7 linked regions of the Macaca fascicularis genome follow. The protein of the gene in region 7 purifies or fractionates together with the protein of the main gene of each other region. This does not show direct contact. Links are inferred from orthologs where the notes say so. Each region holds a gene or a part of one and is shown on either strand. Other genes may lie near its edges.

Region 1 (4,141 bases), on a different chromosome or scaffold from region 7:
CTAAAAGACATGTCCCCCTCCACCCTCTAAAAATGACTCTTTGTCCCAAGAATATGAATAAATCTCCATCTGCCAGGCTGCACTAAATACAGCTTTTATATGCATTACAAAAACACCTGTATTTAAAGCTGCTACAAAAGGAGGTTTTTGGAGCCCTAAAGCACAAAACCAACAGAATCAAAACCAAAAAAGAATAAGGAAAGTCTTTTAAAACTGACAGTATTTGCAAAATGTAAAAATTCAATAGGTCTTTGCCCAACAGTTTACACAGCTAAACTGAGCTTTTCCATTCACATATATTCCCCCAAAGGTGAAGTAACCAGATTATAGCAACATGATTCTAATATTTACAATGTGAAAATGAAAAGGTGACAACCACCTCTGGCCATCTTGAAGTAGAATAGAAACAACCTTTGTTTCTATCAAAGAGAAGTTTTGTTGAAATACACAAAACCATCCCCAATATTCCTACACCAGAGTTAAAACACATACCAAGCCTGGTAAGTCACAAACAACAAGAAATTACCCTGCACAGTTTCTTAAAAGACTATTATTTCACGAAGCGTACAGACTGTGTAGAGACATGACCACTTATGACTAAGTAAACGTAGGTTACAACCTTGAAAAATCAAACTTTTGTTGAACACCTACAATGCTTGTGGCCGCACTTAAAAAGGTGTGGCTAAGTATAAAAACCAAGCTCTAAGAGCATTTTCTTACTAAAACCCCCAAAATCAACGTTTCCAATCACGTTACATTAAACCTGGCCAGTGAACTGCCTTGAACTCAATTAAATCCAATAGAATTTAGTATTTATAGTAAAAGTGGGTACACTCTTTACAAATGCCAAAAGATGTGAACTATTTATATTTACTACCAAAGCTTAGTTTACGGCAAAGGGTAAGGAACTTTAAAAATAAAAGTATTACTTTTGAATTTAATATAAACGTCTGCTAAATGACCTTCTGGCAGAGGAAATTCTTTAAATATCTTGTATGGGTTTTCCGAAGGCAAACTTTTTAAAAACCCTCAAACTATGGTATATTTATGAAGCTCATTTTAAATTATTTCTTCCATCTCTGCTTCACTAATTCATGTATTAAAACTGTTGAAACTCCATTTAACAATTTAACTTCTCTGTAAGATAGAAACTTTTTTAACGGGGGTTAAAGTAGAATAGCAAATTTTCAGCATAAGAGCAAATTTATTATTAGGCTAAAGGAAAACATCCTATCAGCGATTCATTCATACGAAACTATCAGGTTCAATTCATATGAAGTCAGAAGAGAGAAAAAGAATTTTGGAAATTCACATCGCAAAGATATTTCTAAAAAGATGTAACTATTCCAAGTTATTTACTTATTAACAATTATTTTACACATGACATTTTAAAAGTTTCACACACCCAAATTTAAGATAGTCCAAATTGTAACAAACAAGACATGACTTTGATGGAAAATGCTGCTTGCAAACTCGTTTTCCCTGGAGATTTCTTTTTAAAAGATATGGTTGACAATACACTGGTGGTATTTTGCTTTTAAAGTGTTATGAGGAAGGAATAACAAAACCAACCCAGGTATTTTCTGTTTAGGATCAAAAGGAAATCGTAAGGATAAATAAAAGACAAAAAAGGGCCTGACCCAAGGACAGTATCCCCCTCCAAGAGAACAAAGTAAGTTGCAATTTTGAAAACCAAGTTTGAAATAAAAGAAATCACTTCGAGGGCTTTTCCAAAAGCGGGTGATAAAAACTAATAGGCTCCACCCGCAGAACTTTCACAAGTGAGTGAAGGATGATCACAGTTATCAGCTGTGTGCGTGTTTGTGAGTACACACAAGCCATGGAAAACCCGAGACTACTATGGTTAACAAAGGTTACCGGACCAAAAAAAAAAAAAGTGGAGGCAAAGTATTACGCGCCCCTAACAAGGCTTCCCCACAACTCCTGAAACAAGAGCTCTGGCCCTTCGGCTTTAAAAATCAGAACCACAAACTATGGAGTGTTAGAGCCGCGAGGGGAAGGGACGCAGGCAGCCCCCACCCCCGCCAGGCTGGGCGGCAGCGCCGGGCCGCCGAGCACCGTACCTCCCCGGCTCTCTGGCCCCGAACCCGCACGCCCGGGCCGGCGCACCCACAGCCCCCGAACTCACCACACCCCAGCCCCCACCCGCCGCGGCCATGTGACACAGCCCATCGCCCGGGCCGCGGACGCACGCAAACACACCCCTAGCCGGAGGCCCGCGGGCGCTCAGGCTTTACCTGCACGGTGGCGCCAGGTCCCGCCCCGTCAGATCCAGGGGGTCCGGGACCTTTTGTTCCTTCCTCTTCCGATGGGATGGAGGGGGCTGGGAGGGGAACAGGGGAATGGGCGATTGGAGGCGGAACTGAAAACACTCCCGGCCGCCGTCTTCCCGCCCCGCCCCCAGGCCCGGGCCCGGCCGCTTGCCCCGGCGCGCGGGAGGGTAGAGGGTAGAGGGAGGGTAGAGGGAGGGGAGGGAGGGGAGGGGAGGGGAGGGGACGGAGCCTGGCCGCCGCCCGCGGGGAAGGAGGGGGTGAGGACGCGCGCGCCCGCGCTGCCCCTCCTCCCCTCAGGCGCGCGTCCGCAGCCCTACCGGCCGCCCGCACGGCCGCGCCCTCCACCGCCAACCCACCTCCGCTTCCGCCCTCCGCCCTCGGCCGCCGGCCGCCGCGGCGCCACGCACCCACCTCCCGGCGGCTGGCGGGCTGCTGGCTGGCGAGCTGCTCCTCCGCCGCCGCGGCCGCGCGGGTAGACCCGCCTGCCACCCTGGGCCGCGGGCCCCGCCGATTCGCCAGCGCAGCCCCGGGGCTGGCACCCTGCCGCCCGCTGATTGGCGCCTCCAGCCGCCCGTTAGGGCGCGAGGCACGCCGGCCGAAAGCCGCGCGGGGCGGGCACGGAAGACGGAGGGAGCGGAGGAGGAAAGGAACGAGGCCGAGCGCCGCGGGCAGGGCCGGGGGGCGAGCAGGGCGCGGGGAGTCGCCGGCCACCGCCTCCCCACCTCCCTTTGCCTACGGCCCGCCCCGCCTCCCGGCCGGACCGGCGGCGCCCGCAGCCAATCAGCACGCGGGGAGCTCGGGGTGTGAGCCGCGCATCGGGGGCCTCGAATCGGAAGGGAGACGTCGCTCGCTGATTGGTCCCGCCTCCCCAGTCTAGCGTGAGGCGAGGCGAGGCGGGGCGCGGCCGGGCGGGGCTGGACGCCCGCGGTTTCGCTTGAGTTGGACTCCTGCGCGCTCCCACCGGAGTTCGGGGGCGGCGGGGGAAAGGCCTGCGCCCTGCCGCGCGGGAAGACGATTCCCGGCGACCGCCCGATCCCTCGCCAGCGTCGTGGGGTAGGGCCTGTGGGGGCCTGCCGCTTCGTCCACAGTCCGTCGTGAGGCCGGCAGCGGACACGTGCTCATCCCACTGGGAGGCCCCGGGCAGCCCGGAGGACGCGCCTAGGAGAGAAAGGGGGTTTGGGAGAAGCCCGAGGACCCGTCCCGCGACTGGGCGCGCCCTATGCAAATGAATGGGCGGGGCCCTCGTGCTGCTGAACGAGGGTAGGTTCGCGATGTAAATAAGCCCAGAGGTGGAGTCTTTGGAGAGCACTTAGGGCCCGGGTAGGGGATGCCAGATCTAAGTGTTTAACCTAAATCTTGGTTCCGTCTTCAGTAAAAATGATATCAATAATCCACGTCCCGAAGGGTCTGTGAAGTCTAAAAGAAAGGCATGTCATAATGTCCTCTAATGGCTGGGATATCTTCCCTTCCTCTTTTCTCCCGTTGCGGCGTTTAGGCCCCAGCTTGGGCATCTGCCCTACAGGAGGCAGCAAGGCCCTAAACTTACCACAGACCAGGGCATAACCGCACCCAGGGAAAACCTTGTTGCTTTTACCCTTAGGAGCACCCAGGCCTCTGCTGACAAAATATTGAGCCCAACTAATCACATCAGGTGTTTACTATGCACCCACTGTGACACAGGCAGGGAGTACCGTAGAACTAAAGTTGAAAAGAAACTTAGGTCTCACACAGGTGCCAGAGACAAGACTAGAACACGGTTTTTTTGGGGGTGCCTGTCCAGTAATTCATTCTCATGTATGGCTTACTTTATAGATATAATTGGGGACTTCAGATAAGCGGGAAAGAAG
Region 2 (4,046 bases), on a different chromosome or scaffold from region 7:
AAATATTTTATTTGGCTTCTCAAGATGGACTGAGAAGTTGGGCACCAGCTCCAGACCAATTCCTGGACGCACATCAAACACAGCCCCGTCATCTATCCAGTCAGTCAAAACAATCTTTTCCATCTAACCCTTTAATGTTTATGTCCTAAAAAGCTGCTAATTGAATCCAGCTCTTGAGATCTATTTGCTAAAATCTATACCATCTAATTTGTAAATGATGAACAAAAATGGAAAAAAAAAATGTTAACTTTCCTGGCAAAACAGAAGAGACTCCACTGTAACCAAAGAAGGAAGGACAATGTTTTTAATATTTGTCAAATTTTGAGAGAAAACGATTCAGAGACAAATAGTTGCAAGAAACTCAGAGTACCTCAAACTGTTTTTACTATTAAGAGGACACAGGGTATTTAAAACTCCTCAGAAAAACCTGAAACAAAATCACTATAAATGTAGTTCAATATTCCCTCTTCCCCTAAAATATAAGCATAATCTTTCCTCTTAACAAACTTTAATTATAAATTTTTATAACGTATCATAGGTAGTACGGAAACCACAGATAAACACTTTAAGATCTACTGAGTCATACTAAAAACCTCAACTAACTTTATTTGAAGAAAATCAAAATCCCTATTTTTTCCCTCATCTATATAGCCCAGAGGAAAGTAAATGGAAACAGCCAATTTCTGATGCTTTCTGCACACCTGGGATCACATGTTCTTTCCACGATCACTGACTCCAGATAGCAACAGCAACAGATAAACTCGAAAGCAACAAAGATCCCCTATAAAGGTTTCCATTGTCTCCTCCCAATATAAGGACACTGAATGGGGGAGAGCGGGGGAGAAGGGGGAATACAAGTATCCTGCAATCCAGGTTTTTCATTAAGAACCACTCAGTTAATGATTCCTTGCAATTTTCCCTAGGGAAAGGAAAACTGTCATGAAGGTAATATATTATTTAAATTGCAGCCAACATACATTCAAGCTAAATTCTCAAATACCAAATTCACTGCAAGGTTTCACCCAGCAAGTTCAGCCAGTGGACTGAGATGTGACACATAAGCATTCAACTACAAAATTAGTCCAAATAAATCTCAAAGTCTAGTGTGGGCAAACATAATTACAGTTGATTCGTACACGTGCACGCACACACAAATCCTCTACGGAAAATTATCTTTCTCACCACTCACCCGAATATAAACGTGGACAATTTATCAGGGGTAAATGGTGAAGGTAGGATAACGACGTGATTTCAATTCCTTTTCAAACCAAATACAAGTGCTCCTAAAACGGGGGTGGCATGTCCATGTAAGAATACCAAAAATGGCACTGTAAGTAAAACGTACCTGTAATATTAAAGATTTCATGCACCTGGAATCATAAACACTTTGTAAGTGTAGTCTTCTATCTGACAACCCCTCCGGACATACTTTTCCATTTAGAAAAAGGAAGGGGGAGGGTGGGGAGAGTAACAGAAAGTTTGCTCTAAAGTTTGTATGAGGACATACTTAGAAATGTACCCCCTCCCTCCCCCCAAAAAAGTGTGTTTTTAAAGCAGGTCGGGAGTTAGAAGTGAGACACGAGTTCTGCGGCCTACAAGGAACAACCCCAAACATGCCACCCTACAATCAGACACTTCCAAAACACAGTGTACAATGAGCCCGAGCCGTCGGATCAGACAGGCACACCGGAAAAGTCAACCTGTCTCCTCTCCTCAGAGAGACGTGAGTTCAAGGTGTGTGGCCCCGGCAGCGGTGGCCGGCGGCGGGGAGTAAAGGTTTTTCATGCGGGCATAAGTGGGTGTGCAAGGTAACAACCCGGGAACACACACGCACACCCTCCCGTTAAGCGCTCCATCTTTAAGGAGTGTTTACTGCGCGCAGTCAGCAACCGGATTCAATAATCCTCGCCACGGGAGCTCTTCATCCCCTTCACGATCCCACCTGGGCGGTAGCCCAGGGGCTGCTCCCCGAGACCCGGGAGGCAGCGTCGGGCTCCTTGACCAAGACTTTCCGACCTGAAATCCGCCTGCGATGCGAACCGGTGTATCCTCCCCTCCACAAAAGACCACCCCCACCCCCCGCCCCGAGTCATCCTCGGCTTTTTAAAGAATGCCCAAGCCGTAGCAAGTGGTTTTCCAATTACTCTCCCTGAACTAGGCCTTCCCACTCCTCCGACCCCCAACTCACCATTGATCGCGACACTGGCCCTTCCTAAGGCCACAGGCACCCCCCGCCAGCTCGCCCACCCCGCGGCTGCCCAGCCCGGCCCGCCGCCCCCCCTCACCTGTCAGGCGCAGCTTGACGGGCCCGTTCCTCCGGCCTCCGGGGTTAGACATGTCCCCGGCGGCGGGGGCGGCGGGCGGGACGGGGACGGGGGCGACGGCGAGGCGCGGCGGAGTCACCACAGCGGCCGGGGCTGGGGCCCGAGCAGCCGGCGCCGCGGCCGCCACGGCCGGAGGGTCCCGGATGTGCCGAGCGTCGTCGCCATGAGCCGCGGAGGGAGCGGGACGCCGAGCTCCCCCCTCCTCCCACTTCTCCTTCCTCGGCCCGGGCCGCACAACAAAGCGGCAGCCGCGGCCGCCCGCGCCGCCTCCGCCCGCGCCCCCGCCGCCTCCTCGCGGGCGCAGCGGCCTTTCCTTCCTCTCGTCTCGGCGAGGCCCAGTAGCCGACGGGGCTGGTCGGCTGAGGCGGGCGGTGCTCGGCGACGCCGGAGCAGGACTCTGGGCTCGGCCGCTTCCTCCTCCACCCGCCCTCTTGTCTGAGGGACCCGGGACCTCGGGCCGCCGCCGCCACTCGTCTGCTCCAGGGGGCGGGGAGGAGACGGGAGGCGGGGCCGGCGGGCGGGGCGGGGCCAGCGGGGCGGGGCGGGGCCAGGGCGGGGTCGTCGGGCGCGCGCAGGGTGCCCCGGGCGGGCACCGGCTGTCAGAAAGGGTGTAAGTTGCCGCGGAGGGTCCCACGAGGAACGCGGGGAGGGAGCAGGCAGGGAGCAAAGTGGCGGCGGGCGCGGCAGCTCTGTGACACCTGGAGGGATTTAGTGTCCGGTCCACTTAAGGGAGAGCTTTTGTCCCAACAGCGCCGACTGCATTTATTAGACGCCCACTGCGTGCAGGGCGCTCCTAGAGACTGGGGCGAGGAAGGTTAGAACCGAGTCCGCTGCCTCCCGGGAACTTAGCGTCTTTCGGACGAGGGAAGAGACCGCATTCCCACGCCGATGGTTCCAGCAAAACCCCAGGAGTGCTCTGCTCCTAGTCTTGTAGTTGACACCTCCATCCGGAACTCACCTGGTGGAGGAGATAGGGTTACCTGCCGACTCCCGCTCTTTTCAGGTGCAGCCAAGGATAGGGAGATGATACGTCTTAAAGGATTAACAAGATAAACCTTGGAGAGTAATGTGTGAAGAGTTGTTAATACACTACTGTATTTCGTTATCTCAGGAGGAGAAATTTTTTTTTAAAAATGTGCGCCTTATCCTTTGACCTTGTAACTGTACTGCTAGAAATATTTTTTCTTTTTTTGGACAGGGTCTCTCTCTGTCATCCAGGCTGGACTACAGTGGTGCGATCACGGCTCCCCGCAGTCTCAACTTCCCGGGTTCAGGTGATCCTCCCACCTGAGCCTCTGGACTAGCTGGGACCAAAAGTGTGCACCGCTACGCCCCACTAATTTTTGTATTTTTAGTAGAGACATGTTTAGTAGAGACATTTAGGTTTTCCCATGTTGCCCAGGCTGGTCACGAACTCCTGACGTCAAGCGATCCGCCCGCCTCGGCCTCCCAAAGTGCTGGGATTACAGACCTGAGCCACCTCACTGGCCCTATTCTTGACAAATAATCGTACAGAAGATGTTCTTTGTTATATTCCATTAATACCAAAAGGGGAATGAGGGAACAGCATAATGGTCCAGGAACCGCATGGTTTTTTATGCAGCCATATAACTATTTTTATGAAGATCATATACTATGGAAGAATGTATATGTAATGCAAAGTTTAAAAGCAGAATAGAAGTTGTATGCATATACATGTGAAAATATCTAGCACAATGTAAA
Region 3 (3,500 bases), on a different chromosome or scaffold from region 7:
GCACCTGGCCGGGAATGGCATTTTCTTGGCGTGGCTTCATCTCCAGGTCAATTTCCCTTTGACCCTGATACCTCTTCACATTCCTGCCTTTTGACTCCCACACTCAGCGTACAAAGCAGCTGGGTTGTGGGTTTCCTGAAACCACAGGATGGTAGAGCAACCTGCTCCCCGCCTTCTATGATTGTGGAAGCCAGGAGTGGGGACATCTGAACCAGAGCTGTGATGTCCAGGTCCTCCAGCACCTGTTGCTGTGCCGCCCCCACACAGGTTCTGTGTCTGCCCAAAGCTGTCCTCTCTTGCAGCCCCGGGTCTGGCCGTCGTCAATGTTGTCTGTCTACCCAATGACCCCACGTGGTGGCAGAGCTCTAACCTACATCCTCCTGTCTTATTTCAACAGAGAGAACGACATCACGCCTGTACTGGACCACACCTTCTGCGTGGAACACAACGCCTTCGGACGGATCCTTCAGCATGAACTGAAACCCAATGGCAGAAATGTGCCGGTCACAGAGGAGAACAAGAAAGAATACGTCCGGTAATGCCACCTGGGGGGACGGCCGGGTGCCTGGGGCGAGGCTGAGCCTGCGTTTAGTTGCCTGTGGGGGACGGCCGGGTGCCTGCGGCGAGGCTGAGCCTGCGTTTAGTCGCCTGTGGGGGACGGCCGGGTGCCTGCGGTGAGGCTGAGCCTGCGTTTAGTCGCCTGTGGGGGACAGCCAGGTGCCTGGGGCGAGGCCGAGCCTGCATTTAGTTGCTGTAGCTCCTTCGCTGTGTGATGGCTGGCACTTGTGATCAGATCACATGAACAGAGGCGACTTTCAGAAACCAACAGCTCAGCAGCAGCATCGGGGATCTGCTTGGAGGGGCCCTAATGGGGCCAGGCCTGGCCTGAGGGACAGAACCCATGTGGGGAAGGACTTTTCAGTGACCACCTAATTATGGATGCAGAGGTCAGAGGCAAAGGAGAGAGCAGTGGCTTTGGAGGGTCTCGGTGCTCCGTCCGAGGAAGCCACCCTCTCAGTTTTTTTCCATCCCTAACTTGAGGCAAATCCATGTTCAGGCCTCGGCACTTGCAGCTGAGAACTATGTGGGCACGTCTGTGTGCCACGCTGTCCTGTGCTGTACTTTCAAATGTACTTTTACACATTTAAAATTGTTTACATTTTTATAGGGTCTTGCTATGTTGCCAGGCTGGTCTTGAACCCCTGGCCTCAAGCGATCCTCTTGCCTCGGCCTCCCAAGGGGCTGGGATTCCAGGTGTGAGCCACTGTGCCTGGCCAGAACATGCTTTCAAATTGCAGCAATTGATGTGACAGATCAGGTTCAATCCTCCTGTTTTCAGGGGCGAATCGGAATGAATCAGGGCATGCACTGAGTCATTTTTAACGTGATGCCAAGGTTTGGTACTACTAGCTGGTGGTATGTCTGTCTTGGTGGAGAGATCTGGGGGGGATCCCAGTGTGTTCCCATGTTTGTCAGACTGTGGTATCAGAACCGGCTCACAGGTCAGGCGCGGAGGCTCACGCCTGTCATCCCAGCACTTTGGGAGACCGAGGCGGGCAGATCACCTGAGGTCAGGAGCTCAAGACCAGCCTGGCCAACATGGTGAAACCCCGTCTCTACTAAAAATACAAAAATTTGCCAGGCGTGGTGGCGGGTGCCTGTAATCCCAGCTACTGGGGAGGGTGAGGCAGGAGAATCGCTTGAACCCAGGAGGCAGAGTTTCCAGTGAGCCGAGATTGCGCCACTGCACTCCAGCCTGGGTGACAGAGTGAGACCCTGTCTCCAAAAAAAAAAAAAAAGGAAAAAAAAGCCTGCCCATGGTGGAAAATCCACTTGGTGTTGCATCCAACTTGCGAGTTTTTCTTCCAGGCTGTATGTAAACTGGAGGTTTATGAGAGGAATTGAAGCCCAGTTCTTAGCTCTGCAGAAGGGGTTCAATGAGCTCATCCCTCAACACCTGCTGAAGCCTTTTGACCAGAAGGAACTGGAGGTAGGTGCCTGCCGTGCGGAGTTGACCCAGGGCGTTCGGGGGCTCCCCTGTGGCTGGCGTCTGCCTGTTTTAAATCCTTGCTGCGAGCGGCCGTTTCCTAGTAAGCCTAGGAGCTGTTGGGGTTCCCAGACTAGAGCAAGAGTGGGGAGTAGAAGGTGTTTATGCCGGTTGGTAACCGGCGAGATGTCTGCCTGGCGGTAGGAAATCTGAATAGTTCCCGGAAAACTGGTCAAGGTGGTTGTGGCTTCCCTTGTTTTCAGGGTATCTAGCGGGGGAGAACCAGGTGCTCCCACAGCAGTAACTTACTGCTTTTTATTCTGGCTGTTCCTAGACTAAGAACAAGGGGCTATTGTATTCTCTAGTCATACTGCATGTGCTTGAACACGGTGATTCATTCAGCCCTTCTCCATCTCTGGTGCCAAACAGCTCAAGCCTTGTAGATTGTTCTCCAAGTTTTTCTGCTGCCAGTGAGGAGAGCTTGGGAGCCAAGAGCTTGGATGGAGCAGTAGTTCTGGGGTGAACGTTTGTGTTTTTTTTCTTTTGAGACAGCCTTGCTCTGTTGCCCAGGCTGGAGTGCGGTGGTGCAATCGTGGCTCACTGCAGCCTCGACCTCCCAGGCTGAAGCAATCCTTCCACGTCAGCCTCCCAAGTAGCTGAGGCTACAGGTGCCCGTCACCATGCCTGGCTACTTTTTGTATTTGTTGTAGAGACAGGGTTTTGCCATGTTGTCCAGGCTGGCCTTGAACTCCTGGGCTCAAGCAATCCGCCCAACTTCAGCCCCCACAAAGTGCTGGGACTACAGGCATGAGCCACTGCACCTAGCAGGGGGTGAACTTTTTAAGCCAGTTGCACAAACACGCCCCATCAGCCCCAGCCCCACGTAACTCTTGCGGAATTCTCCTCTCTTCAGACTCGAAACTCCACATGTCCTTGAGTGTCCTGGAGAGACCCTGGGACGTGCCCTTGTTCATGGTGGTAGCTCTGTTCAGTGTCACCCGTTGGTGCTTTGATACTGCTCACCCATGCAGAGCAAAAACCCCGCTTTGGTTATAAGACAACGTCCCATCAGCAGCTGTGCACTGTGGTCCTTGGGGTTGGAGACCCGTCTGGAGGCGGCGGACGGAAGCATGTGCCACAGGCCTCCTGTGTGTAGCTTTCTTCCCATCTCAGCGTCTGCCTAGTTTATTTAGACACAGCTGCTGCTTTGCTTGGGAACCGACTTTTCACTCGTGTGTGTGTCGGGTACCTAGGAGACGCATCCTGACGTGGGTTTATACATTTTGGAAGTAACTCACCTTTCTGCACCTCCTCAGCTGATCATAGGCGGCCTGGATAAAATAGACTTGAACGACTGGAAGTCGAACACGCGGCTGAAGCACTGTGTGGCCGACAGCAACATCGTGCGGTGGTTCTGGCAAGCGGTGGAGACGTTCGATGAAGAAAGGAGGGCCAGGCTCCTGCAGTTTGTGACTGGATCCACGCGGGTCCCGCTCCAAGGCTTCAAGGCTTT
Region 4 (4,141 bases), about 43 Mb from region 7:
CCCCACCCCCAACTCACCCCGTCTTTCAAATGGCAGGCTTAAATGCCAGCCCCTCCAGGTGGCCCAGGCTTCCTTCTCTGAGCTTCCATGGGCCTGGCCCTGGGTGCTACCTCTGAGTAGCACCATGGTGGGCACATAGTAGGTGCGCTTACTGTTTGCAGAATGAACATGGGACAGTTTGGGGACTGTCACCCAGCTCAGGGAGCACTGATGGGGAAGCATCTCCCGTATGTCCCAGGGCTCAGTGCTGTAGCGTCCTCACCCTCAGAAATCTCATAATGACTTAGCCAGGAAGGCATCGTGCCCCACTTTGCAAGCAGGGGGCGCTGAGAATTGAGGGGCTTTGTCCAAGGTCTCATGGCTCAAGCAAGCAGAGTAGGATTTGAACCCAGGGCCATGTGACTTCAGAAGTGCCATTAAAGTCCCCATCATTTGGAGTTTTCTTTTTTTTTCTTTTTTTGAGACCGAGTCTCACTCCATCATCCAGGCAGGAGTGCAGTGGCCTGATCTCGGCTCACTGCAACCTCTGCCTCCTGGATTCAAGTGATTCTCTAGCCTCAGCCTCCCAAGTAGCTGGGACTACAGGCGCATGTCACCATGCCCGGCTAATTTTTGTATTTTTAGTAGAGACAGGTTTTCACCATGTTGGTCAGGCTGGTCTTGAACCCCTGACCTCAAGTGATCCACCTGCCTTGGCCTCTCAAAGTGCTGGGATTATAGGCTTGAGCCATTGCACCTGGCCTGGAGCTGTGTTTTGTCCATGAAGGATTTTCCACCCAGGAAGGGGTCAGATATGAAGTGTGTGGCCCTGGGCAGCTACTCTGAGCCCAGAGACCCCAGCCGTAGCCACCTTGCTGTGCCACAGTTTTCCCGCCTGCTAGGCAGCCCCATGTCAATTGCACTTAGTAGGCCGGGTTTGGTGCCTGACAAGACATGAGGTGGTGGAGGTGGGCAGGATCCCAGCGCTACCCTCTTCTTGAACCAGTGATCTCAACACATCGGATCTCTGTTTCCTCATCTGCAAAATGGGATCATTGAGCTCAGGGGGTCACAAATTCCACAGGAACTACTTTAGCCAAGCCCAGCCCCGTGAAAGGCCCGCTCGGTGGGCTGTTAGGGTGATTGTTTTCATCTGTGGGGCTGCCTGATGCGTCCCCACCCGCCGGCCTTGGAGAGGGTGGGATGGGAGGGTGGGGTGCTTGGGGAGACAAGCCTAGAGCCTGGGCCCTCCCACCCCACTGCCTCCCCCCATCCCAGGGCCCCCCACCCAGTGACAAAGCCCGTGGCACTTCCTCTACCCGGTTGGCAGGCGGCCTGGCCCAGCCCCTTCTCTAAGGAAGCGCATTTCCTGCCTCCCTGGGCCGGGCTGGATGAGCCGGGAGCTCCCTGCTGCCGGTCAGACCACAGCCTTCATCTGCGCCCTGGGGCCAGGACTGCTGCCGTCACTGCCATCCTCTGGAGCCCAGCACCCCTCCCCGCCCATCCTTCGGACAGCAACCCCAGCCCAGCCCCGCGTCCCTGTGTCCACTTCTCCTGACCCCTCGGCCGCCACCCCAGAAGGCTGGAGCAGGGACGCCGTCGCTCCGGCCGCCTGCTCCCCTCGGGTCCCCGCGCAAGCCCACGCCGGCCCCGGCGCCCACCCGCAGCCCTGCCTCTGGACACCGGATAAGGCCCAGCGCACAGGACCCCGCGTGGACGGCATGGACCGCGGCGCGCTCCCTCTGGCTGTTGCCCTGCTGCTGGCCGGCTGCAGCCTCAGCCCCACAAGTAGGTGTCCAGGGACCCGGGGTGGGGAGACTCGGCCTCTGGTGCACAGACCAGGCCCCAAGTACTCCCGGCCTCCTTCCTGTATCCTGAGCTCACGCCCAGCGGAGTCATCCATGGGGCTTTGGAGGGTCACCGACCCTCCCAGTTTGCTGGAACTAAACGATTATACAGGACTTTCAGTGTTGGAAAGCCTCGGGCAAACTGGGCTGACTCTTTCACTTCAACCCTGGTCTCTGGCGTCTGCTCACCCAGCTGTGTTCCATTACTCCCCGGGAAGCCTAGGTCCTAGAATGCTGTGCAGCCACAGGAGAGTTTCCTGCCCTCTCTGGGCCTTGAGTTTCCCCGTGAGGAATGGATGGGAAGGAGGGCCCATAGCCTGGGTTCTGAGCACTGGCTCTGGGTTCAGATGTCACATAGGCACTTCCTTGTGGTGTGATCTTGGGGGACTGCCTTCGGGCCTCTGAGCAAAGCGGGAATGACAACAGACTTCCCTCAGCTGCCGAGAAGGTTGGTGGTGAGGGATCATTGCAGAGAGGGCTCTGACAGACTGGCCCCTTCTGTGTTGTTTTATTTTTAAGTTCCTCCAGCTCACCTTCCCCAGGGCCTTTGAGTAGCTCCTAAAACCGAACAGGCCAAGGCTGCAGGGCCCTGCTCTGCCTCCCTCCCACCTCCCTGATCTCCAGGAAGGGTGCGGGAGTGGGTGCCGGCCAGGTTAGGGATTCTGTGGGGGCTCCTCAGCCTGGGGGGCTCTTCCAAGGGGTCATGGCCTGTGCTGCTTTCTGAAACTGACAAGAGGAGGGGCCGTGAGGAGCCAGGGACCCCCAGCCCCACGTCCCACTCCCTATCCCTCGGCCACCTCAAGCCACTGGCCGGTCCTGTGGACAATCCTTTGACCCACCTGCGCATCCAGGGGCTTTCTGATGGATCTGGGGGAAGAGGGGCAGAAGGGGGCTGCGAGTGTGGGGAGGAAGGGGAAGGAAAACAGCGGTGGGGCAGCCACCGTCTCCTCCCGTCCCCACCTGACGGCATTTTAGAGTCCCTCATTCTAGGTCTCTAAAGCTCTGCCCACCACCTGACTGATAGGAAACTGAGTCTCAGACATATTAAGTGACTTAGCAGGGATTTGACTCCTAGCCTGAGGCTCCCTAAATGTTTGCTCCTAGCAAGGTGTGATAGGGCAAACCTTCTTAATGCGGCTCACAACGACCCTGCAAGATGGCTGCCGTCATCGTCCCCATTTTACAGAAGAGAAAATGGAGGCTCTAACCTGCCAAGTTCACACGGCTAAGACGAAGCCCCTACCTAAGCTCCAAGATCTCCCTCCCACGCATTGCTCGCTGCAGTAACACTCTCTTCCTCTTGGTCATTACAGAAAGGTGCATGCAGACATTTAGGGCCTGGTTTTTAAGGATCAAAGGCAGTGGTGTGCTGGTAAATAATTAACAACAGGGTGGGGGGCTCGGTCTGTAGCGTTTGTGGATTTCCACAGCGTTTAAGTACTCCCACCTGGCTGACTTCAAGCCACCAACTCACCAAGCTTGTGGATGGGAATCAGTGCCCAGTGCACCTGGCAGTTGGTTCTCCAGAGTCTCTGCAGGCGCAGATCACATCAAGAGCAGAGATGACAGTCAGGGGTGTAAAACGATTAGGAAGAAATGCGTTTGGACATTCGTGCTCTTTTAAAAATATATAGTAATAGCTATGTAACAGCCAGTTGGAGAAACTCCTGGAAATGTCTCAGTCTGCTTCTATGAACAGGTAGGAGCTGGTCCCAGTGCACCAGGGGTCACAGGCTCAAAGATACAACAGACCATCAACCCAACTCATTTATGGTCTGGGAAGCTGAGGCCCATGGAAGGCAGAGGGGAGCCTGGGACCAGGGCCTGGAACCCAGATCTCCATGCCGGGGCTGGGGGTAGGAGTGACCCCGACATCCTAGAAATGGGTCTAGAATTTGGGGCCACCACTTGGAAGAATCTCCTAAAACTGTACCTTGCGTGTAACTTGTTACCCTCACAAATCAACCTTCAGAAGTCAGCCTTCTAGAGTTACTCGTCCAACTCTGTAAAGATGTGTGGTCCATGGGTACCTGTAACAAAAATCCAGTAACTGGAAATGATCTAAATGTCCATGAGCAGAGACTCTTAATAAATTACCATGGAGTATCATGCAATAGGCACCAAGAAGACAGAGCTATATGAACACTGCCATGGATGGATGTCAGGGACACACTGTTAGGTGCCCAAACAACAATAATTCCATTTCGGCAACATTAAAATAGTAATAATGTACAATATGCAATAGAGAAAATTCTGGAATAGAATTTTCTATTTAACCCACTCTCACTGTTCTGTGGCCTGGGGTTTTCTCTATG
Region 5 (3,500 bases), on a different chromosome or scaffold from region 7:
GAGAATGTGGTAAGTGCCAAACAATTCTACATTGACAAAATAAATATGGGAATAAAATATAAAATAGCTAATAAAAATAAACACACAAGGTACTATCAGAATATAATTATACAAGTCTGTATTGTCTCAGTTTTGTTTATAGTCAGATTATAGTCCTAATCCACTTTCTTATTCACGTAAAACACATTATGGAGGTAATTTCAAACCCAGGAAGCATGAAGTCTGTAGCAATTTTAGGCCAAAAGTTTACAGTTGGAAGGAAATAGGAATTTATGTTATAATAATTATGTGTTACATGTTTGTTCTGTGAAATCATAACAAATGTCAAATGCTATATGTTTGCACTGTGAAATGACAAATGTCAAATGCTTCATTTCTTTATATACATTACCAATTCATGATTAATAGTATTGTAAGGCAGCCTATTTTTTGCCTTCCTAAATCCCCTTATTTGAATTATAAAGTTATCAAGAATGTCATTTGATCCCTTTTATCTTTGAAAGCTGATATATTTAGTATTCTTTCTTGCATATCTAATTATTATGGTTTCATAACCCATATGTAAAGATCACATTATACAAAAATAAGTGTTTTTAGCAACAATATATACCATCTAAATGAGGATAAGTTGAGAAATTATTTGCAACAAATATTTAACATTTAACCTAAAAGGTAACGTACTAATTATTTTTATAAAGAGGAGCAAAACAAATTATTAGTCAGCTATATGTATGGTACTGTAAGTTTGATTTTAACCTTGAATCTACTAAGTGACCACTGTTACATTAAAAAGTTTTGTTTTACTGATAGAATGAAAACATTTTTAAAGTTTTTATCTTTGTAGTACTGAACTTGTTTGATTTCTGATTTTACTTAAGCCGATATGTCAAAATATCTACTGAAACTGAAGAAACTGAAGGATCCCTACACTGCTGTAAGGACCAAAATATTAATGGGAATGGCCCAAATGGCATACATGAAGAAGGCTCACCAAGTAAGACTTTTCTGTTAAATTATAAAAATGTTTCACTTAAATAATTGCTTCAGAGAGAAAGTTAAGAAAATGGGAATTAAAGAGCTAAAAAATACCTGCAAACCTACGACTAATAATATTAATAATTTAAAAATATAACATTGAGTTTATTTAAAGTTCTCTAATATCTAAAATTAGGTGAAATGGAAACAGATGAGCCAGATGATGAATCCAGCCAGGATCAAGAACTTCCCTCAGAGAATGAAAACAGTCAGTCTGAAGATTCAGTTGGAGGAGATAATGATTCTGAAAATGGATTATGTACTGAGGACACTTGCAAAGGTCAACTCACGGGACACAAAAAACGATTGTTTACATTCCAGTTCAACAACTTAGGCAATACTGATATCAACTACATCAAAGATGATACCAGACATATAAGATTTGATGATAGGCAGCTTAGGCTAGATGGTAAGTATTTGTGAAAAATGGCTTGAACATTAAACAAGCAGAGCATGTTTTTTTGTTTTTTAGGTGAAAACCATGAAATTCAGCCCTGTCAAGAAATACACCATTTACTTTTCTATCTCAAATTTTATATGAAAGGACTTAATATCTAAGTAGACCAAAATGTGTGTCTGTGTTTCATAAATGGAGATTGAATTCATGCTTAAGTTTTCTATCTTTTTTTAAACTTTTAAATTATTTCAATGGCTTGGAAACTGCTATTTGCCCTAATCACCTGTACAAGTAGAAAAGATTGCTATTTATTTATTCTAGTGTATATCCTAACATTAAAATATACTTTAATACTAAGACATATTAAATTTTAAAGAAAAAATATGTTTTCCACCTTAGAAAGATCTTTTCTTGCTTTGGATTGGGATCCTGATTTGAAAAAACGATATTTTGATGAAAATGCTGCTGAGGTAAGTCATCACTCACTTATTTACCTTTCCTTGATTTACTTTATGTGATTACCAGAGATAATCATACTGTTGTGTTACATTCTTTGCTTCCACCAAATGTTCATTTTGCCAGTAAAAAAGTGGTCATGAACTAGAAAAGAAAGTCTTTGCAAAAATACCTTTTTTTCCCCAAAGGTTCAGAGTTCATTTTGAACATGTTTTGCTCATCCATATAGGAGTGTACAGGAATTATTTAGAAGTATGATATAAATCTCAACTGAAATAAGCTTTATGATTCTTTTGAGAAAGTTTAGGAGTTTTCATTATTATTCATAGTAAGATGGTACCACTAAAATGAGTTTTGTTTCATTTGTTCTCTTAACTCAAGAAATACTTCTCTTTAGGACTTTGAAAAACATGAAAGTGTGGAGTATAAACCTCCTAAAAAACCCTTTGTGAAATTAAAAGATTGCATTGAACTTTTTACAACAAAAGAAAAGCTAGGTGCTGAAGATCCCTGGTAAGAGACAAAATTAAATAATTGTTTATGTTTTCTTTAAGGGTTTATTCTGAGATACGTGCCACATTAACTTGAAAAAGTAATTACTAAATTCTCTTTGATGTTTTAAATAGTAAAGGATTCTTTATATAAGTGGTAGCCTTTTAAGAGGGATAGGAAGTTCTTAAAAAATACTGTTACAGTGTTGCCTTAATTTTATTACTGTGTTTTTCCTAATAGCCATTATACTATTAATAATTCATTTTAGTTACTTGTTTTCCAAGAAATTTTAGCTACGTAATCATTTTGAGAGAAGCTTTTTAGGAAAAGTGTAGTGATATATTTTGTGATGTTATTCCATTAGAGCCCAGTTTTGAGATTTTCTAATACCTATCTTCCAGCACAGATGTCTTTTTTGCATACTAAAAGAGAAATAATCTAGCCCTCATTATGTCTTTAAATATTGGTTTGTATATTAATTTATAATGGTTTAACCTTTTTGGAAAATGTGTTGAAAATAAAAATAACAAGAGTTGCTTTCAACCTGGTACATATTAGGCATACGATAATTGCCCACTGAATAAATGTAGAACTTTCCGAACATTTTTTGTTATTTTCATTAATGGGGGTTGTTTGTACCTCTATCAAGCTTTAAATACTTCTCTTTATTCTTAGGTATTGTCCGAATTGTAAAGAACATCAGCAAGCCACAAAGAAATTGGATTTATGGTCCTTGCCTCCAGTACTTGTAGTACATCTCAAGCGATTTTCTTACAGTCGATACATGAGAGACAAGTTGGATACCTTAGTTGATTTCCCTATCAAGTAAGCTTTAATTGTATTTTATAAGTATTGAGCAACTCTTCTTTCAAATTTACTTGATGCTTTTTGTTATTATCCTTTAGTAAATATCAGGTGCCATTGGATCCAATTTCAGCTTTCAAGTTTGTTTTTGAGTAGTTCTAACAATTTATAAGGATCAGTGTTTCAAAATTTTTATTTTTTCTTAGAGATTTTCCAAAGACCAAAGAGGAAATATACTTTTAAAAACTAAAAACAATAAAACTCCTTTTGTGTTATATTACCTATGGGTTAATTGGTCTCATTTATAAATCTAAGA
Region 6 (4,215 bases), on a different chromosome or scaffold from region 7:
GCGGGGGGTTGGGGGGAGAAATAGCTTTTAGAAACCCGATCTGTTGTTTGCGAAACACAATCGCTTTTTTTTTTTTTTTTTAAAGCGACAGGGTGTCTAGACGGCCACGTGACGAGGCCGGAGCCGGGCGCGCCACTGCGCAGTGGAACCAGCCGAGCAGAGGGCCGGAGGGGGGGTGCGGGGGGGCGGGGAGGAGGCGGCGGCGGCGGCGGCTGGGGGCGGGGGAGGGAAGGGGGAGGAAGGGGGAGGGAAGGGGGCGGGGGCGGGGGCGGGAGGCCTTGCGGGAGGCGGCGAGGTCTGGGCACACTCGCTTGCTGCTCGGCGCACTGAAGATCTTGTCCCCGAGCCGCGCCAGCCGAGCCAGCCGGGCGCCGTGCTCGGTCCGCTCGCCGCGCGGGAGAGAGCTGCCCGAGACAGAGCCAGTCCGCCGCCGCCGAGCCGCCGAACGCCCGGCCCCTGAGCCCCAGAGTGCGGCGCGGCGAGCCCCTGGCGGCGGCAGAAGGACCAGAGCGCCAGGAGAGGGCGGACCGGGGACAAGGAGGCTCCCGGGCGCGACGAGGAGAGTCTCGGAGGAGGAGGCGCCGAGAGGACACCGGGGCCTCCTGCCGCCGCTGCTGGGGCCAGGCGAGCAGCCCATGCGGGGACCCTCGGCGGGCAGCCGCGGCCAGGGGAAGGGACACCGGCGGCCCCCGCACTAGCAAGCAGCTTGTGCCCAGGGGGGGCGAGAACGCGCGACCCGCCTGGGGCCCTCCGCCGCCGCCGCCGCCGCGCCGCCCTCCCCCGCGCTGTCAGCCCCGCCGGGCTCAGCCGCCGCCGCAGCATCTTCTGCCCCTGCGCCCCCGCCAGCCTCGAGGAAGTCCCCGCCGAGGACCTGGGCCCCCAGGAGCGCAGGAGGAAAGACCAGAGACTCCCCTAAACCACCCAGATGCGCAGGATTGAAGCGGTCTAGCCAAAGCTTTCTGTGGATTAAAAAAATACACGATTTTTTTTTTTTTGGCAGAAGGAGAGGAAGACCAGCGGGGCTTTGCAAGGAAAAAAGGGGGGGATGTAACTCGTGGATACATTTTTCCACCCCTCAAACATCTTGTTATACTTTGTAAACATTTTCTTTTTTTAAACCCCAGCTCCAGCCGGACGCCCCCAGACCTCAGAGGTTCGAGGAGGTGGTGTTTTTCATTTGGGGCTTTGCATATTTGGTTGTTAGGTTTTGCGAGAGCCTTCTTATTTCGCCAGACATCTCATGCGGGGTGAAGTCCACTCGGCCCCCTCCCCTGAGTCTTCGTGTGCACGGAATTCGAGGAGATCCGGTTACTAAGGATATAGAGAAAAAAAATAAATTGCGTGCTTGCTTTTTTTTTTTTTAATTGCCTGCTTCTCCCCACCCCCAAATTAAGTTGCTTAGCAAGGGGGAAAGAGGCTTTTTCCTTCTTCCAGCAGCCCAGCCGAACGCCTTTCGCTTTTTTGCCTCCGCGGACCTTCCATGTAGGAAGCCGAGGCTGGCGAGCCCGACATTCGGGAGCCACTGCGGGGGGGCCTCTTTTTGGGGAGGCGCCGACGGGGGCAGGCTCGGCCGTCCCCAGGGAAGCGGCGGCCGGGTTCCTCCGGGGCGCGCCGGGGCCGGAGAGCCGCGCAGGGCGCGGGCCGCGCGGGGTGGGGCAGCCGGAGCGCAGGCCCCCGATCCCCGGCGGGCGCCCCCGGGCCCCCGCGCGCGCCCCGGCCTCCGGGAGACTGGCGCATGCCACGGAGCGCCCCACGGGCCGCCGCCGCTCCTGCCCGGGCCCCTGCTGCTGCTGCTGTCGCCTGCGCCTGCTGCCCCAACTCGGCGCCCGACTTCTTCATGGTGTGCGGAGGTCATGTTCGCTCCTTAGCCGCCAAACGACTTTTCTCCTCGCCTCCTCGCCCCGCATGTTCAGGACCAAACGATCTGCGCTCGTCCGGCGTCTCTGGAGGAGCCGTGCGCCCGGCGGCGAGGACGAGGAGGAGGGCGCGGGGGGAGGTGGAGGAGGCGGCGAGCTGCGGGGAGAAGGGGCGACGGACAGCGGAGCGCATGGGGCCGGTGGCGGCGGCCCGGGCAGGGCTGGATGCTGCCTGGGCAAGGCGGTGCGAGGTGCCAAAGGTCACCACCATCCCCACCCGCCAGCCGCGGGCGCCGGCGCGGCCGGGGGCGCCGAAGCGGATCTGAAGGCGCTCACGCACTCGGTGCTCAAGAAACTGAAGGAGCGGCAGCTGGAGCTGCTGCTCCAGGCCGTGGAGTCCCGCGGCGGGACGCGCACCGCGTGCCTCCTGCTGCCCGGCCGCCTGGACTGCAGGCTGGGCCCGGGGGCGCCCGCCAGCGCGCAGCCTGCGCAGCCGCCCTCGTCCTACTCGCTCCCCCTCCTGCTGTGCAAAGTGTTCAGGTGGCCGGATCTCAGGCATTCCTCGGAAGTCAAGAGGCTGTGTTGCTGTGAATCTTACGGGAAGATCAACCCCGAGCTGGTGTGCTGCAACCCCCATCACCTTAGCCGACTCTGCGAACTAGGTGAGAAGTTGTCCCCTTACCCCCAGCATTTTCCGGCGCGCCAGTGCTGGAAGAAAAGCCCTTAGGGCAGTGCGTTTGTGCAGCCACCCCTCCAGGGGGAGTGTGCATCCCCTCCTGGGAGGAGACTGGGGGCCGAAAGTAGAGAAGGGACACGGGGAAACTCAAAGGGCATTCCCTGGGGTTTCCCTTCCAGGATTTCTCCTGTGTTGCCCCGAAGGGGTCTATGGGCACTGCTCCTGCACACAGTTTGCGGTTAAAAATTAGACGCCTTCATTTCCGGATCAACAAGGGGGTGCAGAGGGAGATGGGGGGGTCACGCCTCCCCGCACCCGGAAAGGCGTTGAGGTGTGTGACCGAGTTGGATTTGGTCCAGGCCCGCCAAGGAAGGCTGGGAGAAGCATGCTATAAAAAGGCTGGAAGGTCTCCGTATTTACTCCTTCAGTAAATAAGGAGAATCACGTCGAACACAAGTGGCCCAGACACTGTCGTGGCCGCGCAGCTTTGGAGTTTTGGGGCAAAGAGAGTTGGATGGAAGGCCGAACTGGGTATCTGTCTCATTTCAACTCTGCCAGCCCCAGGGTGCAGAGGAACAAACAGCCAGGAGAAGTTGGGTGTCCCCTACTTTTTCCTTCCTTCCGCACAGATAAGTCTATAGATTAGTGGGGCCCTGCGCCTCGGTGACGTTGTCGCCCCTTACTGCGCTGGGGCCAGGGCTTCTCGGCTGAGACCCTGAAACTTCTTCCCTTTTATCCTGTCAGCTTTCTCCATTCCTTCCTTTTCTGTATGTCTCTGTACACGGAGTGTGATGTGAGGGTTCACCCCGGGCGACCGCAGATCCCCCAAGTTCACCAGCACGCTTGGGCTGCATCTCCCGAGTGCGCTGGGAATGGGGAGCCCCGTGTCCCTCGCGCGGGTGCCCAGCGGACCGGCGGGGGCGGAGGTGAATTGCACCCCTGGGGGGCGGGCCAGGGCGGGGAACCGAGGTTGCTGGGAGCTAGGTCTGGAGTCCGAGAACGGGGAGGGGGTATGGTCGCCCCCCGCCTGTGAACTGTGAAGTGCGCGGCTCCGGCTGAGCCGGTGGTTTCCAGCCGGGCCAGCCGAGCGCGGCGGCGGCGGCCGCAGACGTGGAGGAGCGGAGCGCCGAGGCTGGCGCCAGGCGGCCTCTTTTGTTTATCTGACAGCTAAATATCAAGGCAATCACCGCCTCGCGGCCCTGCCTCCAACCCCCACAGCTAAGACAAACAGTTGGGCTAAAAGAATGCTTCTGTTATCATAAGTTTCTATCTCTCTTCTCATGGCTGGGCCTTTATTTTCTCTTGCTTTTTTAATTTCAGAGTCTCCCCCCCCTCCTTACTCCAGATACCCGATGGATTTTCTCAAACCAACTGGTGAGTAGATGATTTTTAAAATATCCTTCCTATCTTAAGTTAGAAATAGAGCCTCTAGAACCTGGCTTTTTGTGTGTAGGCAAAGGCTTGGAGAGGTGCTGGACTTGCTTCACTTCACGTTGGTTCTAGGTTTCCTCTGTTGGAAGTTTGGTGAATTTTTCTGTTGTGACTGGGTTTTTGTTTTGTGTTTTTGCAAAGATGTTCCCTTGATATGCTTTACATTTTGTTCCTTTTTCCTGTATTTGCGCTCTGTAGCCGGTGGGCTCAGCTTTGATACGTGGAAGCTTTAGTCCAGAAAGAAGTGTCTTG
Region 7 (3,500 bases):
AAAATTAACCAGGTATGGTGGCACATGCCTGTAATCCCAGCTACCTGAGAGGCTCAGGCAGGAGAACTGCTTGAACCCGGGAGGCGGAGGTTGCAGTGAGCCAACATCACACCACTATATTCCAACCTGGGCAACAAGAGTGAAACTCTGTCTCAAAAAAAAAAAAAAAAAAAAAAAATTGGTGGAGATATAAATACTAAAATGTGAGTTGTTTGGGAGTGATGAAGATGTATGTGTGTGTTTGTTTGTTTGTTTTGATATTTTTGTTTGTTTTTCCTGCTATGAGCATGTACTGGCCTTGGAACAAGAAGACAAGTCAAACACACTTTTAAAAATATATATGATTTTTAAGGAGACGTTAATGGGTATTGTTACAGGTTATTGGTATTACTGACCTGATGTGATAAGTGGGGAAGGTACTATGATATTGGTAGCAGCTGGCCTTGTAATGATGGCTGAAGAGTACAGAAGGAGTAAGTGGGTGCTGACAGAGCTGGTGTGCATGAAAGGAGGCCTAGTAGGAGAAGACTGAATGATTCACTTGTTCTGGGTTTGAGCCCTATAAACTGCTGTAATGAGGCTCTTTGGCTATGTGGTGGCAGTGGCCAGCTGCAGGAATTGTGTAGGATTAGGAAAATGGGGGTTGCCACCTACAGTGTTTTTGTTGTTGTTGATGTTTATTTCACTCAAGGCCCTTTTTCAGTAAAGTCATCACCTGGCCTTGGTCCCGTGGAACTGGCAGCTGTCATTGCTGGACCAGTGTGCTTTGTCTGCATCTCACTCATGTTGATGGTGTATATCTGCCACAACCGCACTGTCATTCACCATCGAGTGCCAAATGAAGAGGACCCTTCATTAGATCGTCCTTTTATTTCAGAGGGTACTACGTTGAAAGACTTAATTTATGATATGACAACATCAGGTTCTGGCTCAGGTAATGTAATTGTTTCTCCTTTTTCCTAAGACGTCTTTTTAAAATTAAGTGATACTTATTTTATTAGTTTGCTAATAAGCCAACTTGTTAGAATGTGAGATAATATAAATAATATTCCAGGTTTGAAACTAATAAAAATCTTTAAGCTTGATGTATATATGACTGTGGCTGGTTTAAAATAGATTGGAACTTACTTTAACTGATAAAGCAAGTCAGTCAGCTCCATGGTGGTATAAATTTCAAAGCGTTCTCACTTGTATGATCTAATTTGCTTTTCATCACTGTGAGGTAGAAAGGATAAGAACAATTATTCTCATATGGATGAAGCCGAAGTTCAAAGATGTTCAAATGATCTGCAACTAACCCGTTCTATTCAGGATTGTTTAGCAGCCTGATGTTTATATTTGAAAACAGGCATGATAAAAATTTATTCAGAATTGTGAAGGTTATTTGCTTTTTAAACATTATATGAAATTGTCTTTTGTATAGGCCTGGTTTTTTAAAATTAAACTAATGAACTCTTACGTCATTTTCTCACTTCAGAAAAATGTCTAATCACCTTCTTATTTAATGTAGTTTTGGCCCCTAATGAGATTTGCTTTTCCCAGTTCTATTTGTTGATATTTGTGGCATCAGAAGTAGATGAGCTAATTGTCAGAGTCATCCCAAGGTGGATTTTGGCATAGCAGTGCTTCATATTTAAACTGAAGGGGCGTTATCTTCTACTTTTTTTTGTATATGGTTTGGAAAAGTATTAAGAGAGGAACACTCCTATCGCCTGTGTTTTTAGAATTTGACACTTGGCTAAGGATAAATAGATCTAGGTTCCAAGGCAAGTTTTGTTGCTGATTGGCTGTATAACCTTGGTTAAAACATGTTTCCTCTTTGGGCTTCTGTTTCCTCATCAAAAATATGGAACCCATACTGCTGATAAAAACACTTCAAGTGGTTTGTTAAGACTTTTAAATGAGATATACTATCCTTTGAAAAGTATGAGTCGTCTTTAAATAAGGGCTAAATTCATGAATAAAGTGAAAATTTGGAAAGCATATATAGTGAAAATTTCACTAATTTTGGTGAAACCCCATCTCTACTAAGAATACAAAAAAATTAGCCGGGCATAGTGGCATGCGCCTGTAGTCCCAGCTACTCGGGAGGCTGAGGCAGGAGACTCGCCTGAACCTGGGAGGTGGAGGTTGCAATTAGCTGAGATCGTGCCATTGCACTCCAGCCTGGGCAATAGAGTGAGACTCCATCTCAAAAAAAAAAAATTCACTAATTTTATAACTGAGTGATATTAAAGGAATATTAAAGCAGAAATTGAGCATAAAATCACATCTAATGTTGCAGAAAGCTCATATAATGACAAATGTCTATTTATTTTAAGGAAATGAATATATATTGTTATGTATGCATATCTATTCATTTAAGAATGAAGAAACTGATTTTATTACCTGAATTATTCTTCTGTAGAATTTGGCCGTATGTATTCATAAGAGAACTCTCTCTTTGACTACTAGGACACATACAGGCTTGCACTGGAGCTCAGATCAGAAGGCAAGCTTAGGGATTCCTGAAACAGTTGTGTAAGGAAGACAATGAGAGTTTGGACTTAGATGGAGCCATCTTAGTACTGAAGGTGTGATAGTCTTTGGGCAGGAGTGGTGGACGGAGGTTATTTTAGAGCTTTCCTGGGACTTCCCATTTATTCTCAGTTCAGATCTTCAAAAAGATTTTGTTCATTCTAGAAGTAATCCTGCTCAAGACTGTGATAATCAAGGACCAGAGTCACAGAAAATCAGGATGGCTTCAGATCATTTGGAATTAATCCCTCAGACCTGTTGTCTTGTTTCTAAACTTACACTCCGGAAAGACAGCAGCTCATGCCACTTGCCACAGTGGAATAAGCCCACCTAATTGATTAAAGGAATTGGTGGGTGGGTGATAGTTGATTACTGAATAAGAATATCTTCATTAACCTTTTAAGAGATAAACATGAAAAAGAATGGAATAATTCTGTTTCCATTATATATATATATATATATTTCTAGATCCATGAGGGACCATAGCTCTCTGTTCTCTGAAAGCTTCTCTCCCTCTTTTTATGACTTACCCTGCAAAAACTTGTCTGCATTGCTTGCTAGCTCTGTAGCTTTGGGCAGTTAACCAATGTCTCATGCTTGAGTTATTTCATCTTTAAAATGAAAGTGATGGAGTCTGCTTTGTGCACATCATTGGGTTGTTGTGAGTTCAAGCAAGACAAAATGTTGGCATGAAAGCGCTTGGTAAATTGTGAAGTTATGTCCAAATGACAAGTGTTGCTCTTATTGAAAACATACTTGGAAGAAAAATCTAACATACATTATCAGTTGACTACATTGTACAAAACTTAGTTTAAGGCCTCCTTTACCTGTCATAGTTCATTGTGTACTGAATTCTCTACAAACCTATCTAGGCAGAAGCCATCTTCTGGTGAATAATAGCAGAAAATGCCATCTGTTTCCCTTCTATTCATTATAAATCCTTAATGCCACCTTAGGCATGAGAGTAGTGCCTGTGAGTAAGT

Evidence for each region.
Region 1: the proteins of TGFBR1 (region 7) and SMAD2 purify together in Homo sapiens (affinity purification with western blotting; 8 studies listed by BioGRID and IntAct, with this or other methods). This does not show direct contact. The link is inferred for Macaca fascicularis from reciprocal best matches to the Homo sapiens genes TGFBR1 and SMAD2.
Region 2: the proteins of TGFBR1 (region 7) and SMURF2 purify together in Homo sapiens (affinity purification with western blotting; 8 studies listed by BioGRID). This does not show direct contact. The link is inferred for Macaca fascicularis from reciprocal best matches to the Homo sapiens genes TGFBR1 and SMURF2.
Region 3: the proteins of TGFBR1 (region 7) and SMURF1 purify together in Homo sapiens (affinity purification with western blotting; 3 studies listed by BioGRID). This does not show direct contact. The link is inferred for Macaca fascicularis from reciprocal best matches to the Homo sapiens genes TGFBR1 and SMURF1.
Region 4: the proteins of TGFBR1 (region 7) and ENG purify together in Homo sapiens (affinity purification with western blotting; 5 studies listed by BioGRID and IntAct, with this or other methods). This does not show direct contact. The link is inferred for Macaca fascicularis from reciprocal best matches to the Homo sapiens genes TGFBR1 and ENG.
Region 5: the proteins of TGFBR1 (region 7) and USP15 purify together in Homo sapiens (affinity purification with western blotting; 4 studies listed by BioGRID). This does not show direct contact. The link is inferred for Macaca fascicularis from reciprocal best matches to the Homo sapiens genes TGFBR1 and USP15.
Region 6: the proteins of TGFBR1 (region 7) and SMAD7 purify together in Homo sapiens (affinity purification with western blotting; 19 studies listed by BioGRID). This does not show direct contact. The link is inferred for Macaca fascicularis from reciprocal best matches to the Homo sapiens genes TGFBR1 and SMAD7.

What each region holds. Positions count from the first base shown.
Region 1 is NC_088392.1:41,863,437-41,867,577, reverse strand, and holds the start of SMAD2 (mothers against decapentaplegic homolog 2), read right to left. Parts: upstream 2,801-4,141; 5' UTR 2,706-2,800; intron 2,345-2,705; 5' UTR 2,259-2,344; intron 1-2,258. UniProt on the Homo sapiens protein: Receptor-regulated SMAD (R-SMAD) that is an intracellular signal transducer and transcriptional modulator activated by TGF-beta (transforming growth factor) and activin type 1 receptor kinases.
Region 2 is NC_088390.1:71,251,091-71,255,136, forward strand, and holds the start of SMURF2 (E3 ubiquitin-protein ligase SMURF2), read right to left. Parts: upstream 2,801-4,046; 5' UTR 2,338-2,800; coding exon 2,286-2,337; intron 1-2,285. UniProt on the Homo sapiens protein: E3 ubiquitin-protein ligase which accepts ubiquitin from an E2 ubiquitin-conjugating enzyme in the form of a thioester and then directly transfers the ubiquitin to targeted substrates.
Region 3 is NC_088377.1:47,609,424-47,612,923, reverse strand, and holds part of SMURF1 (E3 ubiquitin-protein ligase SMURF1), read left to right. Parts: intron 1-397; coding exon 398-535; intron 536-1,869; coding exon 1,870-1,990; intron 1,991-3,303; coding exon 3,304-3,500. UniProt on the Homo sapiens protein: E3 ubiquitin-protein ligase that acts as a negative regulator of BMP signaling pathway. Mediates ubiquitination and degradation of SMAD1 and SMAD5, 2 receptor-regulated SMADs specific for the BMP pathway.
Region 4 is NC_088389.1:16,137,664-16,141,804, forward strand, and holds the start of ENG (endoglin), read left to right. Parts: upstream 1-1,341; 5' UTR 1,342-1,370; coding exon 1,371-1,767; intron 1,768-4,141. UniProt on the Homo sapiens protein: Vascular endothelium glycoprotein that plays an important role in the regulation of angiogenesis. Required for normal structure and integrity of adult vasculature. Regulates the migration of vascular endothelial cells.
Region 5 is NC_088385.1:69,325,284-69,328,783, forward strand, and holds part of USP15 (ubiquitin carboxyl-terminal hydrolase 15), read left to right. Parts: coding exon 1-9; intron 10-878; coding exon 879-994; intron 995-1,171; coding exon 1,172-1,444; intron 1,445-1,831; coding exon 1,832-1,902; intron 1,903-2,285; coding exon 2,286-2,401; intron 2,402-3,055; coding exon 3,056-3,205; intron 3,206-3,500. UniProt on the Homo sapiens protein: Hydrolase that removes conjugated ubiquitin from target proteins and regulates various pathways such as the TGF-beta receptor signaling, NF-kappa-B and RNF41/NRDP1-PRKN pathways.
Region 6 is NC_088392.1:40,812,622-40,816,836, forward strand, and holds the start of SMAD7 (mothers against decapentaplegic homolog 7), read left to right. Parts: upstream 1-1,415; 5' UTR 1,416-1,905; coding exon 1,906-2,518; intron 2,519-2,950; exon of another isoform or gene 2,951-3,063; intron 3,064-3,852; coding exon 3,853-3,906; intron 3,907-4,215. UniProt on the Homo sapiens protein: Antagonist of signaling by TGF-beta (transforming growth factor) type 1 receptor superfamily members; has been shown to inhibit TGF-beta (Transforming growth factor) and activin signaling by associating with their receptors thus preventing SMAD2 access.
Region 7 is NC_088389.1:58,992,357-58,995,856, reverse strand, and holds part of TGFBR1 (TGF-beta receptor type-1), read left to right. Parts: intron 1-691; coding exon 692-934; intron 935-3,500. UniProt on the Homo sapiens protein: Transmembrane serine/threonine kinase forming with the TGF-beta type II serine/threonine kinase receptor, TGFBR2, the non-promiscuous receptor for the TGF-beta cytokines TGFB1, TGFB2 and TGFB3.